2 linked regions of the Caenorhabditis elegans genome follow. The protein of the gene in region 2 purifies or fractionates together with the protein of the main gene of each other region. This does not show direct contact. Each region holds a gene or a part of one and is shown on either strand. Other genes may lie near its edges.

Region 1 (10,853 bases), on a different chromosome or scaffold from region 2:
CCAAAAATCGCTTAAAATTTCCAATTTTTAAGCTTAAAAATCGCTTAAAATTTCCAATTTTTAGGCCAAAAATCGCTTAAATTTTCCAATTTTTAAGCTTAAAAATCGCTTAAAATTTCCAATTTTTAGGCCAAAAATCGCTTAAATTTTCCAATTTTTAGGCCAAAAATCGCCCAAAAATCGCTTAAAATTTCCAATTTTTAAGCTTAAAAATCGCTTAAAATTTCCAATTTTTAGGCAAAAATCGCTTAAAATTTCCAATTTTTAAGCTTAAAAATCGCTTAAAATTTCCAATTTTTAGGCCAAAAATCGCTTAAAATTTCCAATTTTTAGGCCAAAAATCGCTTAAATTTTCCAATTTTTAAGCTTGAAAATCGCTTAAAATTTCCAATTTTTAGGCCAAAAATCGCTTAAATTTTCCAATTTTTAGGCCAAAAATCGCCCAAAAATCGCTTAAAATTTCCAATTTTTAAGCTTAAAAATCGCTTAAAATTTCCAATTTTTAGGCAAAAATCGCTTAAAATTTCCAATTTTTAAGCTTAAAAATCGCTTAAAATTTCCAATTTTTAGGCCAAAAATCGCTTAAAATTTCCAATTTTTAGGCCAAAAATCGCTTAAATTTTCCAATTTTTAAGCTTGAAAATCGCTTAAAATTTCCAATTTTTAGGCCAAAAATCGCTTAAATTTTCCAATTTTTAGGCCAAAAATCGCCCAAAAATCGCTTAAAATTTCCAATTTTTAAGCTTAAAAATCGCTTAAAATTTCCAATTTTTAGGCAAAAATCGCTTAAAATTTCCAATTTTTAGGCCAAAAATCGCTTAAATTTTCCAATTTTTAAGCTTGAAAATCGCTTAAAATTTCCAATTTTTAGGCCAAAAATCGCTTAAATTTTCCAATTTTTAGGCCAAAAATCGCCCAAAAATCGCTTAAAATTTCCAATTTTTAAGCTTAAAAATCGCTTAAAATTTCCAATTTTTAGGCAAAAATCGCTTAAAATTTCCAATTTTTAAGCTTATAATCGCTTAAAATTTCCAATTTTTAGGCAAAAATCGCTTAAAGCTGTAAATCCAATTTTTAAGCGAAAATTCACCGAAATTCCGCCAGATACGGTAATCGTGGTGAGACCTCGATGCCGGAAAACCTTTATGCGCCTTTCATTTTTGTAATCTATTCTTCAATTTTTTGAGCGAATTTTCGCGGTTTCTTTTTTAAATTTCCGCCAAATTAACCATTTTTCACGTTTTTCCAGCTAAAACTTGAAATTTTCAGCGAAATCTCTCTTTTTTGGCCTGAAAATTCGCAAATTGTTTCCAAAAAACGGTAATCGTGGTGAGACCCAGCTGTTCTCGAAATTCAATGCGCCTTTAAATTTTGTAATCATTTCTTCATTTTTGGAGTGAATTTTGACGTTTTTCACTGCTAAAAGCGAGTTTTTAATCGGTTTTTTTTTCGATATTTTTGGGTTAAAATTCGCATATTTAATCCTAAAAATCAAGTTTTTGCCTAAAGTTGGCGGGAAATCCAAAAAAGAATTTTCACCATTTTCTTATTCAAAACATTTTTCGCGCCTTTTTCCCATCAAAAACATGTCAAATTCCCGTGAAAATGATGAAATCTGACGAAATTCCTCGTTTTCCGCGCGAAAAATCGCATTTTCCCACGAAATTCTGTTATTGACCTACACACAGCCGGGTGAGCGCGAATTTCGCCTAATTCGTTCGGTTTTCTCATCATTTCAAGGTCATTTTCGCACTCAATTCGCTCGTTTTTCACTTTTTTCGTCGTTTTTCCTTCTATTTGGAACAGTTTTTGGCAAAAATACGCCGGAATTGCAGGAAATTCCCGGTTTTTTCAGCTTTCCATTGGATTTTTTGCCGGATTTTCAGATAATTCAAGCTGTATTTTCAGCGATTTTTTCGAAATTGCCACCTTTTTTCCAGATTTTAAGGTTTTTTCTGAGGTTTTTGCAATTTTCTCGCAATTTCTTGGATTTCTGTCGATGTGCCAGCGTTTTCCTTCGAATTTGCACGATTTTGTCGATTTTTAGAGATTTTTCTCCAATTTTCAGCGTTTTTCATTGGTTTTTGAGAAAATCCTGCTATTTTTAATGATTTTTCAGTTGTTTCAGCAGATTTTAGGATTTTCCAGCGACTTTAACTGAATTTTCGCTCGATTATTGGCATTTTGAAGCTTTTCCTTCCGATTTGGCACTTTTTTCGGCGATTTCTCGAAAATTCGCCCATTTTCGCAAAAGTTCAAGGTTTTCCGGGCATTTTCTCAAGTTTCTCCGATTTATCTGTGAAATCTGCTCTGAAAACCAGAAATGAGCACAAAAACTCGATTTTCATATTTTCGAAGTAGTTTCTTCCGATTTGGCACATTTTTCCGGGGATTTTCTCAAAAATTCCCACATTTTCCAATGTTTTTTCGAAGTTTTGAAATTTCCCGCTTTGAAAATCCAGAAATAAGCCCAAAAGGAGCTCCACGGAGCCCGGTTTCATCAGAAAATTCGAAAATCAGCTGAAAAAAGGTCAGAATTTCAGTAAAACGCTCTATGGAGCCCGAGTATTTGCTCATTAAACGCTTCTGAATAAACAAATAAACATGAAGACGTAAAGCCAGACGGAGCTCCAACACGCACGGAGCAACTAATTTCGTTTGCAGTTCTTCTTCTTCTTCTTCACAAAAGACGCAGACACTTGCACACTGAAGACACAAGAGACACCAGACACTCTGTCCGTTCTCTGAGTCTCTGTGGCTTCCCGTGATCTCTCGTTGGCGCCCAGCGCCTGTCATTGGCGCTGCCCACGAATAGATAGTGTACGTGGAGTGGAGAGTCACCAGACAGAGCAATAGGGAATGTCCAGAAGCATCGGGAGGGATGAGAGGACGTGGCTGCAGTGCCCCCTGTTTCTCTGTGTCTCTGCGGTATTTCCCGTACTTTTTTTGGGGGGTTTCTTCTCCTTTGCAGCAGATCCCGAAATTCCTCGAATTTCGCATTTCCGCCGCCGCCCACTTTTTTCCAGCTTTTCCAGCAGCGATCTGGAATTTTTGAAGCTTTGACGTCCGTATTTTGAGATTTTGTTCCAAGAAATTTAGTTTTTTGAACTGAAAATCGAGGAAATCGACCGGTTTTGGGCCAGGTTTCTCTGAAAATTGGTGCCTAACCAGGGTTTCTAACTGACTTTAATGTTGCCCAGTTTTGGGATTTTTTTGGTCGGTAAAACCAAATTTTTTTTCCTAGAAAATTAATCTTATGGAAAAAAAAAACTGGATTTTACCTGAAATTTTCGAATTTACTGACTGTTTTAGTCTATTTTTTCGAGTGTTTCAAAGCAAAATTCCCACTGACACCGCCGGTAGGCAGGCAAGGCTTCAGAGAATGATGCCTGCCTGAAATCTGCCTGCCTTTCGCCTCTTTGCTGCATTTTGACATGAGTTTTCAAATTTTCTCATTTCTATCAATTTGTTAAAAAATCAAATTACACGTAACACGTATTGAGGCGAGAGTCAGGCGGAGTCGGTCGCCTCAAAGACAGGCAGGTAGGCCTACGTTCAAGGCCTACACACCAGGGGTGCCAGGCTGCCCATTTCGGTTTGATCTACACAAAAATGCGGGAGAGTTTGAGACGCGAGTTTTCAACCGATTTTGCATGGTTAAGAACGTGCTGACGTCACATTTTTTGTTGGGCAAAAAATTCCCGCATTTTTTGTAGATCAAACCGTAATGGGACAACCTGGGGACCACGTGGGCCTACAGAAGTGTGTTCCTAAACGACAAAAAGCCTACAATTTCTCTTCCTATTAGGTTTCTCAAGTATCAAAGTTTTTCATTGATTAACACAGGGATACACCCCCTCTCTTGATGATTTTCTATTTGACCTCGATATTTCGGAATTTCGGGTGTACTTTGTCGTTCCCCGCGCGCGGGCTGCGAAAACTTTTTTTTTAATATAAAAGTTGTCTCCACCGCGGCCCGCGCAATTGTCTTTACCCCAACGGAAATGCAATTATTATTGTCATTTTTATCACCACCATTTCAACTTTGCCGATCTCTGTGTGAAATTCTCAGTTGCCGTCCCCGAAAGTAAAGAAAAGTGCTCGAAATGCCACTTTTTTTTTTTTGGAAGAATTTTCAACTTTGAAATGGATTTTCCCGAAAAACTGGCATCTCAGCGAAGAAATTTCTCGGTTGTAGTGGAATTTTCTACTCAAAAACTCGATTTTTTTTTATTAAAAAATTCAAATTTCGAGGTATTTTAGTGGAATTTTCTATTGAAAACTCAATTTTTCACATTAAATCCCATATTTTTTCTTGGAAATTATCGATATTCAGCTTTAAAAATATGTGAAAAGTTGAAAAATGACTCCTTTGTCGATTTACGCAGCTCTTGTGTACTTCTCGAGGAGAAGAGAAGATTTGTACAGTTATAGTAAAAATGCGGCATTTTTGGATATTTTTACTAAAATTGTAACTCTTCTCCACGAGGAGTACACAAGAGCCGCGTAAATCGACACAGGAGTCATTTTTCAACTTTTCAGATATTTTAAAGCTGAAATATCGATAATTTTCAGAGAAGAAACATAGAAAATTCCACTAAAAACGAGAAATCCATTGAAAATAGCTCGAAATTCGGAATTTTTAATCGAAAAAAACGAGTTTTTGAGTAAAAAATCTCTATGAAAATGTGGGAAATTTGATATTTTCGAAATAAAATCGATTTTTCAGGGTTTTACACTGAAAAAGTGCCATTTTTTTCGAAAATTTCGAATTTTACACGTTTTCATAGAGATTTTTTACTCAAAAACTCGATTTTTTCGATTAAAAATTCCGAATTTCGATAATTTCTCCATTTTCCCACTTTTTTCTATAAAATTTCTAAAAATGCTAAATAATTTCAGCCAATGGACTCGTCATTCGTCGATCCATCAACAGCTCTCGGCATTCTCGGTGGTGTTGGTGTATTTGTGTTTGCAATTTATTATATGATATTCATGAATCGACAAGAGGATAATTTTGACAAGGTTCGGAACGATTTTCGTGGAAAAATTGAGATTTTTCACACGAATTCTGATCAGAAGAGTGAAATTTCAAGAGATTATCGACTTTTTTCGCTTAACAACCGGATTTTCCTTGACCTAAAATTGGCCTAAAACTTTTTTTTCCCCGCGAAAAAACCAGGAAAACTAAATTTTTACGAGAAAAGTGGATATTTTTCAGAGAATTCTGACTGAAAAGGCAATTTTCCTCGGATTTTCTCATCAAATTGACTGAAAATCTGCGAAAAATACCTTTTTGTGCCTGAAAATTGTTGAAAAAAATTAATTTTTATCAGAAAAACGGCATTTTCAGCAAACTTTTATTCTAAAAAAGACGATTTTTAACGAGGAATTCGATATTTTTTCCGAGAATTTTGACTTGAAATGAGCAAAATTGCTCTTTTTCACTTAAAAAAAACAATTTTCCTATCAAAAATTGGATTTTTATCGAAGTTTTCCCAAAAAAAGAAGGTTTTCGGTTCAAAATTGGCTTCTTTCGGTTTTTTAAGGCAAAAATGAACAAATTCAGGCCAAAAATGCCAATTTTCAGGTGTAAATTTAAAATTTCAACACAAAAATCGTCTTTTTGTTTTTTTCGATGAAATCTTCGCTGAAATTCGGTTTTCCTGATAAAAATTGGTTTAAAAAATGGGAATTTAGGCACAAAAATGTCGTTTTTTGGGGGAAATTCTGAATAAAATACGATTATATTTTCAAAAAAAAAAAACAAATATTCCAAGGAATTTCTCCAAAAAGAAGGATTTTTGTGTGCTGAAAATTGGCATTTTCAGTCAAAAAAAAAACTGTAAAAATCTATAAATTTTTCAAATTTTCAGGCTTACAACCGCGACGCATTGGCTCTTTTGACTGACAACAACGAGAAGAAGAAACAGCCAAAAAATAAGACAAAGAAGCAACAGCAAACGGGCAAAAAAGCACAAGATGCCGCTCCAGCTCCGGCTTCAGCTGCTCCAGCTGCTCCAAATGCTCCAACTCCAACGGCTCAGCAACAACCATCACCAAAAGCTTCTGCTGCTCCAATTCCAGAAAAACCGGAAATTCAAGTCCAAAAAGTGGAATCTACTCAGGCTTCTGCTCCAATTCCAGCTCCAGCAGCTCCAACAACTCAAAAATCGTCTCCAAAAGAGCGAAAATCGGTGAATTTGAAGGATTTGGATCAGAAAAAGGTGCTCAACAAGCTCTCCGGACTCCCAGAACTCGATGAAGCTTATATTCAATTCTTGGCTGGAGCATTCCGTGATTCTGATGCTCAGAAGAATAATTTGAGTCTGGAAGTTAAGGCTTTGAACAAGAAGATGACGGAATCTGCTGTGAAAATTGAGAAATTGAATAAAGAAAAGATGGCTGTGGAACAACGCGAGAAACACGAGCAGTATGTCGATTTTTTACGCGGAAAATTGAGAAAAATCGTGAAAATTGATGAAAATTGGTCTAAAAATGATAATTTTGTGCGAAAATTCAAGAATTTCGATGGAAAACGTGGAAAAATCACGAAATTTCATGAAAATTGGGCCAAGAATGATATTTTTTCGTCCGAAATTTAAAAATTCTGAACTAAAATTGCTGACCACGCATTTCTGACAAAAAAAGAGGCAATTTTCTCCAAAATTTGATGAAAAATCGTTTTCTCAGTCGAAATGCACCATAATTTAGTCAATTTTGACGGAAATTAGGCAAAATCGATTGAAAATTTCCAATTTCCCGCCGAAATTTGACTTTTCGACGATTTTTCGTTAGCAAACAGCTGAAAAACGACATTTTGGCCGTGAAAATTGTAGAATTTTGTTTTAAAAATTACTATTTTCAGCCTAAATTGTTGTACAACGGTAAAAACCCTAATTTATTCAAAAATTTAACTTTTCTGTCTTGAAAATCGGGCTGAGAACCGACAGTTTTACGCAAAAAAATGCTCCAAATTTGTGAAAAATCCCTAAAAACTTCTTAAAATTGAGCTCAAAGAGTCCGAGCAGGCATTCCTTTCAAAAAACGGTGAATTTTAAGAAATTCGCCAAAAATTACAAATTCCAGCAAAAAATTCAACTTTTGGTCTTAAAAATCGGCTAAAAAAACGCTGAAATTGCTGGAAAAATTTTCAATTTTCCGCTTAAAATCTCTCTAAAAACCTGCAATTTTTCAGTGCTCAACGCCAAAAAAAGCTCTAAAAATGTGAAAAAACCCAAAAAATTGCACTTTTGAGCCTAAAATCCGAATTTTCTCCTGTTTTTCAGAGCTCAACGCCAACAACTCTTGCAAAAAGTGGCTCAAAATCAGGCTCACGAATCAGAATTGGCTCGTCAAATTCAGGGAATTGAAGGAAAACTTCGTGTGAAAGAGCAAGAACTTGTTGCCGCAGGAAAAGCTGTCAAAAATAATGAAGAGCATGAGAAAGAGCTGAAGCTGTTGAGAAGCACGAATTCGAGTTTTTCAACAGAGCTGAAGACGATTCGAAAGGAACATGAAGCTCAGTTACAGAAGAAACAAGAAGAATGGAAGAAGCTACATGAGCAGTTGGAGCAAGAAAAGGAGAAGCTTATTTCGGAAAAAGAGCACGCAAAACAGACACATTTGAAGCTGGCGGCAGCTGTTGAAAATGTTGAAGCTGAACTTGAAAAGCAAGGAAAAGAATGGATTCAATTGAGCACACACAATCAAACATTGAAACAACACAATTTAGAGTTGGAAGCTGCTCTTTCAGTGGCAAAAGCTCGAGATCAAGACGGAGAAGCTCAGAAATGGACGATGGAAAAAGCTCAGATGATTGAGAATTATACGCGATTGGAGGCACTTATCGGGGAGCTCAATCGAGATATTTCAGAGTTTCACGAATAGTGAGTAGATGAACAATTTTCGAGGAAAATCTGAAAATTTTCAGAAAAACGGAAATTTATGTTAAAATCGAGAAAACAGGCAATTTTTGCGCTGAAAAACCGAAAATTTCGAGTTTTTCCACCCTATTTTTGGTCTAGAATCGGTCAAAAATGAGCAGCAAAGTCATGAAAAAACTGAATAATTTGAAAAAAAAATGCACGTTTTGACCAATATTTCACTGATTTTTACCTAAAAACTGCTGAAAAGGAGACAATTTTGGAGAAAATGTGAGAAAAAGCTCGAAATTCTACTCGATTATAGGAAACAGGCAATTTTAGTGCTGAAAATTTGAAAATTTTGTAATTTCTAACGGAAAGTGCTGATTTTCCCTTAAAAATCTATAAAATTGTGCTTTTTTGCAAAAAAATTCGTTTTTTCACTCAAAAATGGGCAATTTCAGTCGGAAATTGATTAATTTTGCTTTAAAAAAACTCGAGAAAAACTCAAATTTCCATTGAAAGCCAAAACTCGAAGAAAATCGACAAAAATGGCCGGATTTTTCTCAAATTTCGCCAAAAAAAAAGGCCAAATTTCTGTGGAAAATTGGCGATTTTCCACTATAAAATTGAAAAAATCGCAGAATTTCACCTGAAAAACTTTTTTTTTAACCAAAAATCCACGAAAAACCCGATTTTTTCCGTAAATTCTGGGAAAATCAACGGATTTCAATTGAAATGCATTTTTTTTTTCGATCAAAAACGATTTTTTTTTGAGCTGGAAAGGTGAAATATTGAGAAATTATCATTTTTTACCCGGAAAAAGGCAAAAAAGGCAAATTTTAAATTAAAAAAAAACTAAAAATCCAAGGAAAAACGCTCAAATTCTCGTAATTTTGCAGCAAAAAGCAACAAGAAGTGATTGTGAATGAGCTCAATCATCGTGAAAAAGCTCATTTGGATACAATTGAGCAACTCCGTGAGCAAATTTCCATCGAAAAGAGCAAATTGGCAGAGCTTCAAGTGGTTTTGGACGCGGAAAAGTCGAAAATTGTCGAAATTCCGTTGAATCAGCCACTGGTGGTTGAGGAGGTTATTGAGCTTAAAAAGACGAATGCTAATTTGGCAGCTGCTGCTCCGAGTACTTCTTCTGGAGCTTCAAAAGAAGACGAGGAAACTGAGAAGCTTAAAGCTGAAAATGCCCAGTTGCACGAGAAAAATGAGGTAGAAATATTGGATTTCTCGCCTTTTTTTTAGTGTGGAACATTGATTTTTTCGTGGAAATCTACCTAAAATTGTAGTTTTCAGCTGAAAATTTGGATTTTTCGTGAAAATTGGCTTGAAATTGCAATTTTCAACGTGAATTTCGGATGTTCAGCTGAAATTCCCAATAAAATTCGGAAATTATCAGAATTTCCTTTAAAATTGGCTCAAAACATTAGTTTTCAGTGAAGAAATAACATTTTTAGCTAAAAATCACTAAAAATTCGAATTTTTCTGAATTTTTCAGAAAAAATCCACTTAAAAATGTAGTTTACACTGGAAATTTTAATTTTTCACAATTTTTCGTAAAAAATTACTTAAAATCTTAATTTGTTGTGGAAATTTCCCCATTTTTTTTTTCGTATTTTCCACTTTTGAAAATTGGCTCGAAATTGAGATTTTCCACTGAAAATTCGGATTTTTTCCAGAATTTTTCGTAAAAATCCACTTAAAGTTTACACTGGAAATTTGAGTTTTTTTTTAGTCAAAATCGTTGAAAATCAATTTTTGGCTCTCAAAATTAGTTTTCAGTGAAAAATTAACATTTTTAGCTGAAAATCACTAAAAATTGAGATTTTCCAGGTTTTTCCCGGAAAATCTACTTAAAATTATTATTATAGTTTTCAGTGAGAAAATCACTTTTCATCTGAAATTTTGGATTTTTTGCGTGAAAATTGGCTTAAAATTGCATTTTTTTTTCTGTGAATTTCTGATTTTCAGCTGAAAAATTGCATTTTTTTTACCTGAAAATCAGAAATTTTCGTGGAAAAATGTAACTTTTTTGGCTGAAAATCACAGTTTTTCGGAAATTTTTAGATTTTTTGGGGAATTACGATAAAACATAACTTTTTTTTTTTGTTTATGATTGGAATTTTCGCATTTTCGGCTGAAAACCTCATAAAAATCACTCAAAATGTGACTTTTCACGATAAAAATTGAATTTTTTGATTCCGATGTATTGATTTTTCGAAAACTGACTGAAACCATGTTATTTATCCGGATTTGACGCATTTTTAGATGCCAAAACCGAGATTTTTCGGAATTTTTGCTCCTCAAAATGTGTGAGAAACTATCGAAAATTGGGGTTTCTACTCAAAAATTTCAGAAATTTCAGACTATTTTTCGTTTTTCAAAGTGAAAAATCGTTTTTTTTTCGTGAAAATTCACTTAAATTTGGATTTTGCGTGAAAATTAGCTTTCAAAACTCAGTTTTCAGTGAAAAAATAACATTTTTAGCTTAAAATCACTAAAAATTCGAATTTTTCAGAATTTTTTGCAAAAATCCACTTAAAAATGTAGTTTACACTGGAAATTTGAATTTTTTTTTCTTAAAAATCTTTGAATATCAATTTTTGGCTCTCAAAACTAGAATTTTTCTGCAAATTTTAATCTTTATAGGTGAAATTTTCGCATTTTCGATTGAAAACCATTAAAAATTAGTCAAAGATTGGCTTTTCTCGCTAGAAATCCGATTTTTTTTTTGCTTCCAAAGACTATTTTTGTCGAAAATTGCTCATAAACTCGTCTGAAATTAACATTTTTAGCTTAAAATCACTAAAAATTCGAATTTTTCAGAATTTTTTGCAAAAATCCACTTAAAAATGTAGTTTACACTGGAAATTTTTAATTTTTCCATTGAAAATTTTAATTTTTCACAATTCTTCGTAAAAAATTACTTAAAATCTTAATTTGTTGTGGAAATTTCCCCATTTTTTTTTTTTCGTA
Region 2 (10,402 bases):
TCACGTTAAGCATAGGAATGACTTTTTTTTAACTAGGAAAGCTATTTGAAAGTGTTTTAATTTAAGGAAACAACAGTTTCATGTTCCATGTTGCCATTATGTTTTTGAAATTTCATCTCAGAATTTATTGTCGGAAAAGTCGTTATAATATCAAGAAACAAAAACTCTCAAAAATAATATTTATTATGAAAAGTATAAAAATTTATAAGGAAAGTCTTTAATTTTTGTTAAACCCAAATTATATATCGTGTAGGCTGGAAGTTTTGTTATACAAAACTGGCAAGAAAACTTCGCCTCAAACTAGAAAATTTACTTTAAAAAAGACTAGAAAATTTCAATTACTTATTTCATATCAAAAAAAAATGTTCACACAATTCAAGAGCCCTCCAGAGACAGGTATAAAATTTAGATTATTCCATCAGAAATCTTAATATTTTTCAGTTTTCTTCAGTTAGTTCTTTAACTTGTAATACTCTAATTTCTCGTGTCATTTTAAATTCACATGTGAAAAATTCAAAACAGTTTATTCGGTGGTTCGTATAGTACACATATTCCAGAATTAGAGACCTCTTTACTGATTATTTGTCAATTTCTGAGTTGGAGCAGAAGATGGTGCTTGTTGTCCCTGAATTTATAGATATTTAGAAATTGAATGCTAATTGATCTCTCTTATTACCTTATTAGATCCCCATCCGTAATAAGCAGTTGGATAAGCAGCAGCTCCATAAGCATAAGCATATGGATAAGCAGAAGCAACTGGAGATGAAGCATAATAATATGGAGATGATACAACTTCAGGAGTATATATAACTTGACACGATGAAATACAGAAAAGGGCAAAAATCATGACAATTGTGGATTTTTGGAACATTTTTAGATTTTTCAGGTGAGACTCGGAAGTGATTGGAAAATTGAAAAGTTACCGCTTTTATAAGTGTTTCTTTGTGTTCTCTTGCTCTTTTTTTAATAGAAAAGTTTCTAAGTTTACGTACTCATGCACTTGGTTGAAGATAAATAACTAGTCAGTTTGCAGGTGTTCTATTTGTATTAAATGTTGCACAAAGTGCGAGGTTTGCTCAACCGAACTACAAAAAGTTCAACAGAAACAGTTCAGATAATATTCAATGACTTTAAAATACAATCAGAAAAAAATCACAAAAAGGGATATTTTGCTGGAACCTCGAACCCGTAGACGCACTTGCATCTAAACAGTTTTGATGAAAATACATGGTAGTTAGTAGCAGAGTTAGGTAATAAAACCTTTGCACGGATGAACATGGTAAAACAATAGAAAAAAATGAGTCAATGATTTAAATGATTTCTTTAATAAATCAAAAAATCTAAATACAGAAATAGTTTTATTGCAACTTTAATCCAAAAAGTGTCAAGAGTAAGTTTGTTAAACAAAGAGTCTATGCAAACATGCATCAATCGTATATAAACGGTAACTTTTCAATTTCCAAATCACTTCCGAGTCTCACCTGAAAAATCTAAAAATGTTCCAAAAATCCACAATTGTCATGATTTTTGCCCTTTTCTGTATTTCATCGTGTCAAGTTTTATATACTCCTGAAGTTGTATCATCTCCATATTATTATGCTTCATCTCCAGTTGCTTCTGCTTATCCATATGCTTATGCTTATGGAGCTGCTGCTTATCCAACTGCATATTATGGATGGGGATCTAATAAGGTAATAAGATATCAGTTAGCATTCAATATCTAAATATCTATAAATTCAGGGACAACAAGCTCCATCTTCTGCTCCAACACAGAAATTGACAAATAATCAGTAAAGAGATATTTCATTTTGGAATATGTGTACTATATGAACCACCGAATAAACTGTTTCCATTTTAGTTGTGTTAATGTTATTTATTTTTAATGTGTCTTTACCGTATGGTTTGATTATCAAGAAGGTTTTTCTATAGAGTTCAAAAAGCAGCATGCAAAAAATGAATCTGGAGTTTGAAACACATTTCATTTGGATCATGTCCGAGGATTTTTGAGGTTTAGGTGAATTTCATAGCTGTTCTCAAAGATTGAACTCACATTCGTTTTTTTTTAATGCTAATTATGTATAACAGAGTAAATCTTTAAGAAATGAAGTAATTCAGGAATATTTAATAACGGTAATTTTAATACGGTTTCATAGTTAATATAATTGTGTTCCAATTCCCCATCTCCAATAATTCGTCTAAACCAAACAGTTAGTTAGAGAGTTCAAGGTGTGCCTGAAATGACAGTCCATACCTTTTTAAGCAAACATCATTCGAAGTATTTTATCGTATGTGTGATTCACATAAAACTCGTCGTCATTCTTTTTTCTCTTATCATTCCATTTCAACTTCCACATTTCTTTCGAAACTGCACCGATAAAGAATTGGCATAAAAGTCTACCATCTTTCCGTTTTCGTTTCGAGTTTCTAATTCGCAGCTTTTCATCAAATAAATAATGGTTCACGTCATTGAAAATCCAGTGAGTCATTAGTTTATGAGCTTATTTGTTCTAAAGTAACTATTTTCAGCCAATTCCATTGACTACACCAATCTATGAGGGAATGAGAGAACATTCATCTGTGGAAATTCATGGAGAAGTATTTCAAGGTCCACAGGGGTTAGTCAAATTCAAAAATTAATTATTTTAGAATCAGGGTAATTTGTTTTAATTACCATATTCCAAATTTTTCGAGTTTCACGGGTGTGCACCTTTAAAGAGTACGGTAATTTTCAATGATTTCTGAACCCATTTTCGAATAAAAACGTATTTTTCCTTTTGAAAAACTTTAATACTAAAACAGTTTGAGATCACGGGAGAGGGGTTATTAAGGAACCACCATTTCATGAGAATGCCTACTTTCTGGCGCGAAAATAGCGACAGCAGAGAGAGTGAAGAGAGTGCCTTCGCTACGAGATATTCCCGCACCAAAACGGTAGGCATTCTCATGATCTGATGGTTTCGTAATAGAAGTTACAGTAATCTTCAAAGGCACTCGTTTCCATTTAACAAAATATCGTCGTGGCGAGACCTGAAGCCGTATTTTAAGAAAAGAAATCACGACATTTTGCACTTGAGTAATAGATAACCTTTTCAATATTACAGAGGATTCACAGTCGAATTTCCCACCAAAAATGGAGTTGCTCTTCATATATCGGTTCGAATGGGTTCATATGGTCAAAATGTGATTGTATTTAATCATTTACAAAGAGGAAGATGGCATCGAGAAGAACATCATCAGAATACAATCATGTTTGGCCGACCATTTTGTATGAGAATTCATAATGAGCACAGAAAATATTCGGTTGGTTCTTCTATTGTTCTGTAATCCACAGGGTCTCATTTGAGGCAAACTCGGCCGTGTGGATTTACGAGATGGTCTCAAAAACGTTCAAAAACTCTCCCGGCTTCTCATCCATGTTCGAGTAATAACGTCGATCAGAGCCATATTCAGTAGACGTTTAAAAATGAGAATTTCGCCACATCTTACACGCAGGGGTCTCGCCACGCGAAGTGACTGTATATCGTGTCGAGCTGCTCGTAAATTGACACGAGCTACAGTAACTCGGTTTCAGCGTGGCGAGACCCATGCGCGTAAAATATGATGAAATTCGCAACTGTAGATGCCTACGTAATAAAACAAATTTAGAAGTTCTAAGTAGATTTTCTTTTTCGTAAATATTGTGAATACATATTACCTTTTTGCGTAAAAAAACAATTTTCAACCCAAAATCAAGATATCGGGTCCTGAAACTTCTCAGCTACCGTACCCACGAGTGTGAAAGACTTTATGTTAAAACCTAATTTCTCTAATTATTTGAGTTTAGAATATCAGATTATTGAACACAGATAGTTTTTTTTTATTCAAACAATATTCTCGTAAAAACAATCAATTTAATTCCAGATCCACGTGGACGGACATCACATCGGACATTATCATCATCATAAATGCCCAAAACGAATCGTTGCAATGACTGTTCGAGGAGATCTTCGAGTTGGAAAAATTCATTTCGAAAACTTCAAACATCATAACGGAGGAGGTTGGTTTTTATCTTAATATTCTGGGGATTTTTTTTTGTTTTTTGATTTCCAATCTTAATAATTCTAGGTACTGAAATCGGTGTAATGCAAATGCCTGTTGCTCCAACTCCGATCGTTGTTGCTCAACCACCGCCTCCAATGATTGTTCCCCAACCACAGATTGTTCCGGTTGTTCAGCAAATTATGCAACCAATGGTTCAACCCATATATCCAAGTGTTCAACCAATCGTGTATCCAACTGCTACTCCAATCATCTATACTCAACCTGAAGTTATCTACATGGACGGTTATCATCACCACCGTCACCATCACTATTGAAATTTGTACTTATTGTGAAAATGAATGAATAAATGAACATGACAAATTGATAGGGACGCACCGTTCATCTAATGTTCATAACTGAGACATGAATATTGAGCACTGCAGAAAAAGTTTGATGACAGAAACAAAAAAAAAAGTACATAGTACTACTGAATTTGAGTTGGTCAAGAGTCAAGAATGATTAAGGCTTTCAAGAATAAATGAATAAATGAAGAAAAAACAATATAACGAGCTAAAATGTGATGGGAACGGAAACAAGAGTTATGGAGGAGAAACAAGAAATAATATGAAGGGATGAGGAAGATTTAGAGAAGATATTACTTGGACTAGAAGATCATTTCTTATTTTTAACCATTTGAACGAGATACTTGAAACGACGAATGCAGGCTTTTTTGGACTTTGTGCCAACTTCTGTTGAGATCTTTTCCCACCGCTCGGGATCACTTGACTTATGCTTCTTGATAGCGTCCTCTAAAGTTTTCTGTTCGGTTGCTGACCAGACATCCTCATCTGGTAGCGCAGTTCCTAGCTGATTTTGAGTAGTTGATGGTAGCTTGACGTTCATCGTTTGAACAGCTTTGCATTGCTTGATAACCTGTTTTTCAGTTTTTGGTGGTAAACCCGTAGAATCCTTGCGATGCTCGTTAATGTAATCGGCAATTTGAACCCATCTCTCCACGGTTCCAGGTGGGAATGTGTTTGAAGCCTTTAAAAATATGAAAATTAATTAATGATTTCCAATCGTTTATGTCTTACCTTAACCAATAATTGAATCTCTTCACTAGTCCATGTCTCCTTGTCGGCTTGCTTTTCATTTTCTTTGTTCTTATCCTCAGTGATTGTGACCTTTGCTCCAGCAGCTTCTTTCTTCAGAATTTCAGCATCTGTTAGCGCAGTTTGAATTTCAGAAGCAATTGAAAGTGATTCGACCTTCTCGCACAGCTCTCTGAGTTGATCAACAGTGAACCCAATGCAAATCCGCTCAATTCTTTCCATTTCAGTGAGCTTATCGCGAGGATTCTCCGTCCAGTGGCCAGCTTCATCAGCGAGTTTCTTCAGACGCTTACGCTGCTGAGACATAGCTTTCTTGGCAATATCACGCTCTTTCTTTTCTCTCTCCTGAAAATAATAGTTAGTATTTAAAAATCGACAATATTCTGGTGTATTGTGCTCACTCTTTCTTCCTTTGCTTTTCTGTCAGCTTCCTCTTTCTGCTTAGCTTCGGCTTCTTCCTTTTCACGCTTCTCACGGTCGATAGCTTCTTGCTTTTCACGGATGGCTCTTTGCTTATCTTCCTTTGCTTTATCTTTTTTCTAAAATTTAAAATTGAAAATCCGGCAAAGTTTAGGCAAAGTTTATAGACTTACCGCTTGCTGTTCCTTCTTGAACTTGATAATTCTAGGATCCTTAGCATAAGCTATATCAACCAACTTTCTAATTCTCTTCGCCTCTTCTTTCCGCCGTCTTTCTCTTTCTGCCTTATTCTGTTTCTCCATCTCTCGTCTTTCGTACCGATCTTCTCCTCTTTCCTTGTCTTCTTCGTCCAAATACGAGAACTCGCGCCATGACTGGAAGTTAAACCAAAAATCGTAGAAATTCTCGACATCCTCCCGGGTCGCATCTGATTTACCAAGTTCTGGCACTGGCTTGATATTGGACCATCTGGAGTTTAATTGGAAAACTGGAGCAAGTTCGTTATAAAAGTTATTATGGTTGATTGATTTCTCATTTGGAATAATATCGTTGAATTTATGATCGACCGAATCGAAAGCTTGACGTTTGACGTCAGACATTCCAACTTGTTCATAAGCTTTTGTGATACAAGTAAAGTATTCTTCCTTCTCCATAACAATTCCACGATGCTTCTTCTTGTCCGGGTGATGCTTCAAAACCTTTTGACGATCTGAAATAATTCTCTTCAAAAAATTCTCACTTCATTTTAACTTACAACAGAAACGAATTTCGTCAGATGTAGCTTGCCATCTGAGCTTCGACAATCCTAAAACTTTGTAGTGATCCTGATTTTTGCAGTCATTTGGATCCAGCTTCATCAAGTACTTTTCATATTTTTCATTATCAGCATCAAAAAGATCTTTTCTCAATTCAGCTGGCTCTTCAGACGACTTTTTTCTTTGCTGTTCCGTAACAGGCTTTGCAACAGGAGAGTTTTTATAGATTGGAAGCGTACAGTGGCCCAGTGTGAGTTTATCTCGAATAAGGCGAGTCTGAAAATGTCAGTTAAGAAATATTTGCGGACATAGGTGATAGTAAACTCACTTCATAGCATATTCCGGCTGGCTCAAAAGCTCTGCTTCGAGCTGTGAATCCATAAATTGCAACTTGTAAATTGCCCGTAGTCATCTATAATTATTAAATTATTTTGAGCCTACTTTAGTCCTAAAACGAAATAAAAGAACATAATCAGCCTAGAAATTTCTGTTTTCTTTTTAAATCGCGTGACCACAGTTGTTCATAAAAGATTTTCAGCAACGAAAGAGAAGAAAAAGGGACATAATCTGAGAAATAAAGCTGAAAAACTACTGAAAATAATTGCGGGGGATTTACGAAAGAAGAAATCGTGCCATGGTTGCAAAATGTCGAGTGCGGCGCGGTTTTAACCGAGTCACAACATAAATTATGGAGACGGAGACACAATGCAAACGCGCTTCGCTGGTCTTTTTTGTTTTTTTTTCTTGTAACTTAAAATGGAAACCTGGAGTGATTTGGATTCATTTTAATTGTTTTTCAGCTTTGTAAGCTCCGCTTTGTACGCGATTGTATGAAATAAAACATGTTATAATTTCAAGTTATATCCAAAATAAGGTTTTCAGATGTCAGAGTCATCGTCAAACTTGAATCCAGATGGAACTGAGTTTCCAGACCCTAATGACGTGCCACCACCATCGGAAGATCAATTGACTGAAGAGGTATGCTGAAATATTACATTTGTAAAAATTATTAACAATCTCCATGTTCAGGATCTATTCCGGATGCGTTCTCTGACAATCAATTCGAAAAAAGGACGTAAGTTTTTTTTCATCGCTTGAAGTTGTTTGGAAAGATAATTATTTTTAAAATATTTAATATTTTTTTAGTTTCAGTTGTTGGTGGTGCAAGTGAGACAGCCGAGCAGTCCATCATATCACTCGCAGATTCGACTTCAAATTTTGATGAGCATGTTGGAGATGATGCCGAGTTGGATTATGAGCTGGAACAAGCTCCTGAAGCAACAGAAGATGGTGCAGTGGTGAACAATCCTGTTTGTGGAGGGTACCATTTCGGAAGGAAAAGAGCAGATGACTTCGTCCCAAATGCCAATACAGGTTTCTTAAAACTCCAGTTCGATGTAACACTGATATCTATATTCTATAATTACAGTAACAGTGCTCAAATGGCCTACAAATCTGGCGATTCCTCCACGCAACCCCGTGCTGAGCGATTCTGATGAAGAATGGAAGAAAGCGATTCTCGACTCCACCATTTATCTCATCGGTACAGCTCACTTTTCAAAAGAGTCGCAGGAAGACGTATCCAACACAATTCGTGCTGTGCAACCTGATTTTGTCATGCTTGAGCTGTGTCCATCACGAATTTCAATCATATCGATGGATGAGGCTCGGCTTTTGAGCGAAGCGAAAGATCTCAACTCTCAAAAAATTATTCAGACCATGAAACAAGTGAGTTCTCATATTTTTGTTGTTGTAATGTTGTAATATTTTCAACTTTTTTAAGAACGGCGCGATTCAAGGAATTCTGCACGTTCTTCTCCTGTCAATGTCAGCGCATGTAACACGTGAACTTTCCATGGCTCCCGGAGGAGAATTCCGTGCTGCTCATCGTGCAGCAGTTGCAACTGAGGTTTGAGTATTTAAAAAGTTTTATTTACAAAGTAACTATTTCAGAATTGTCGTGTAGTTCTCGGTGATCGTCCTATTCAAGTTACACTTCAACGTGCACTGGCTTCTCTCTCCATCTGGCAAAAAATTCGCTTCTTCTTCCACGTTGCATTTTCACATCGTGAGAAGATAACTGCAGAAGAGGTATTTAATTATTCAACCTTTTCCAAAAATATTCCAAAATTATAGGTGGAACGATGCAAGCAACGTGACCTTCTGGAGCAACTTCTCGCCGAGATGGCTGATGATTTCCCACAACTATCCCAAATCTTTGTGGAAGAGCGTGATGCCTACATGACGCATGCTTTGCATATGCTCGTACACCGGAACTCAGTCGAAAAACGTGCACAATGGCTTCGTGGAACAACTGGGCAACAATTTCAACCGTTGACAGTTGTTGCTGTCGTTGGAATCGGACATACTCCAGGAATTGTTAACAAATGGAATACAAATATTGATTTTGATCCACTTATGAACATCCCACCACCAAGCCTCGGAACAAAGGTAAATTAATCTGAAGTTATTTTAATTCTTTCATTTCTTTATTTCCAGGTTTTCTCCACTGGCGTCCGTATTGTTGTCTGGGGATCTTTGGGATATTTGGCTTATCGTGGAGGACGTGCTATCTTCAATCGTGTTAGCACATTCATAGAGTCTCGTTGGTAGGTTGGAAATTTTTGTTTAAAATTTAGTTTTGGGAATGTTGAAATTAAACGATGAAATTAAACGTGAATTTTGCAAAATCAAGGTCGCACAGAGAGAGGCAGCGCGTAGTTTTGCAAGCCTGTGGCATTGTTTTCCACCGTTTTTTGGTGGTTTTTTTTCGATAAGTTCTCAATTTTACTGGTTTCACTATTTTTTCTAATGAAAATGTTACCTAATTCAATTCTCATACGATTATGAGGAAATTTCATGTTAGATTTGTTGTAAAAACGAAGTATTCTCACAATCTTATGGGAATTGAATTAGATACATAATATTTTTATTCAAAAAAAAAGAAGGAAAAACCGTACCACAGGGATGAGAAATTACGCGAATTACCAACTCCCCATTCAAAGAATGAAATAATAGCAAACCTAATCTCATTTTCGTGCTTCTCCCGTCTTCTCTCGTTATTAGCTTTTCTGGTATCACCTGCTCCGCACAAGTTACCCATGACAACCAACCCACTAACTCGTATATCTTTTCAGAACAACTCATTGATTGAAGCGGGCACAACAGCATAGCAGCCGTCTACATTCGATCTACAGGCGTTTTCATCGTTATTTTGTTCTTTCCTAAAATGTTTATGTCTAATTATTGGACTTTTAATCGCTTTTTCTTGTAATGTGATACGATTTCTAGGGTGTAGATAGGTTGAGAATTGAAACAAAATTTTTCTTCTCCCATTTTTTTCTAAACTATCCTTTTCTGTTAAATGCCCAAACAAATTGCAATTTATTTATTAGTCCCACCCGCTTCTTCCGTTTATCGATTGATTTATTCTCGTTTTCTTTGTAAAATACACAAATAATTTAAATTATTCATCTCTCTATTGCAAAATCCCCTTCTACAAGTCCCCATATTCAGCTCGCTGGTCGTATAAATGACACATTTCAATATTATTCTCTCGTGATTCGTGGTAATATCCATAAACTATTATTATCTTTTGAAAGGTGATTGGAAGAGAAGAAGAATGACGAATTCTCAAACTGTCTCACTAATTGGACCAACTCAGATGGCTCCACAATCAACACCTCCACCTCCTGTGAATGAATTGTGGTTTATTGATGCGCAGGCAATGTTTCAGGTAATTTATGTGGAAATGAGCTATGAAAGTTTTAAGAAGTGCTGAAATTATTCGATTTTCTATACTAGTTGAAAAACGGAAAAAAACGAAATAAAATCTGAAAACACTCCAAAATCAGTCTTGCGAGATAAAAGATTTCACACGAAATATTTTAAGAATTACGCCAACCTCCGCTCGTTCTCCAAATCCAATGCCAACGAAATTAATACGACAATTGGCGGATTCGTTTTCGGACGTAAAGCTCGGAAACAGGTTATCCATGTGCTATTCGCCTACGCTGAAGATCTGACTGAATCGAACAGACAATTCTTGGAGAGCTCTCTGTCTGCTGGTAATTAATGGAATAATATTATTAAAAA

The links.
Region 1: the proteins of dnj-11 (region 2) and tcc-1 fractionate together in Caenorhabditis elegans (co-fractionation; one large-scale study listed by BioGRID). This does not show direct contact.

What each region holds. Positions count from the first base shown.
Region 1 is NC_003283.11:17,850,039-17,860,891, reverse strand, and holds the start of tcc-1 (Ribosome-binding protein 1), read left to right. Parts: upstream 1-4,902; 5' UTR 4,903-4,905; coding exon 4,906-5,025; intron 5,026-5,876; coding exon 5,877-6,433; intron 6,434-7,289; coding exon 7,290-7,889; intron 7,890-8,767; coding exon 8,768-9,089; intron 9,090-10,853.
Region 2 is NC_003282.8:6,582,188-6,592,589, reverse strand, and holds dnj-11 (DnaJ homolog subfamily C member 2), read right to left. Parts: upstream 6,720-10,402; coding exon 6,636-6,719; intron 6,584-6,635; coding exon 6,307-6,583; intron 6,262-6,306; coding exon 5,726-6,261; intron 5,672-5,725; coding exon 5,534-5,671; intron 5,478-5,533; coding exon 5,115-5,477; intron 5,065-5,114; coding exon 4,693-5,064; 3' UTR 4,404-4,692; downstream 1-4,403. Other genes in the region: nspb-2 (Nematode Specific Peptide family, group B), read right to left, coding at 572-625, 677-871; nspb-1 (Nematode Specific Peptide family, group B), read left to right, coding at 1,497-1,691, 1,741-1,794; lec-11 (Galectin), read left to right, coding at 2,454-2,477, 2,527-2,615, 3,102-3,300, 3,901-4,036, 4,105-4,355; F38A5.2 (TraB domain-containing protein), read left to right, coding at 7,190-7,285, 7,337-7,382, 7,454-7,681, 7,737-8,035, 8,091-8,216, 8,261-8,398, 8,444-8,758, 8,807-8,916 and 1 more; odr-8 (Ufm1-specific protease), read left to right, coding at 9,930-10,043, 10,200-10,374.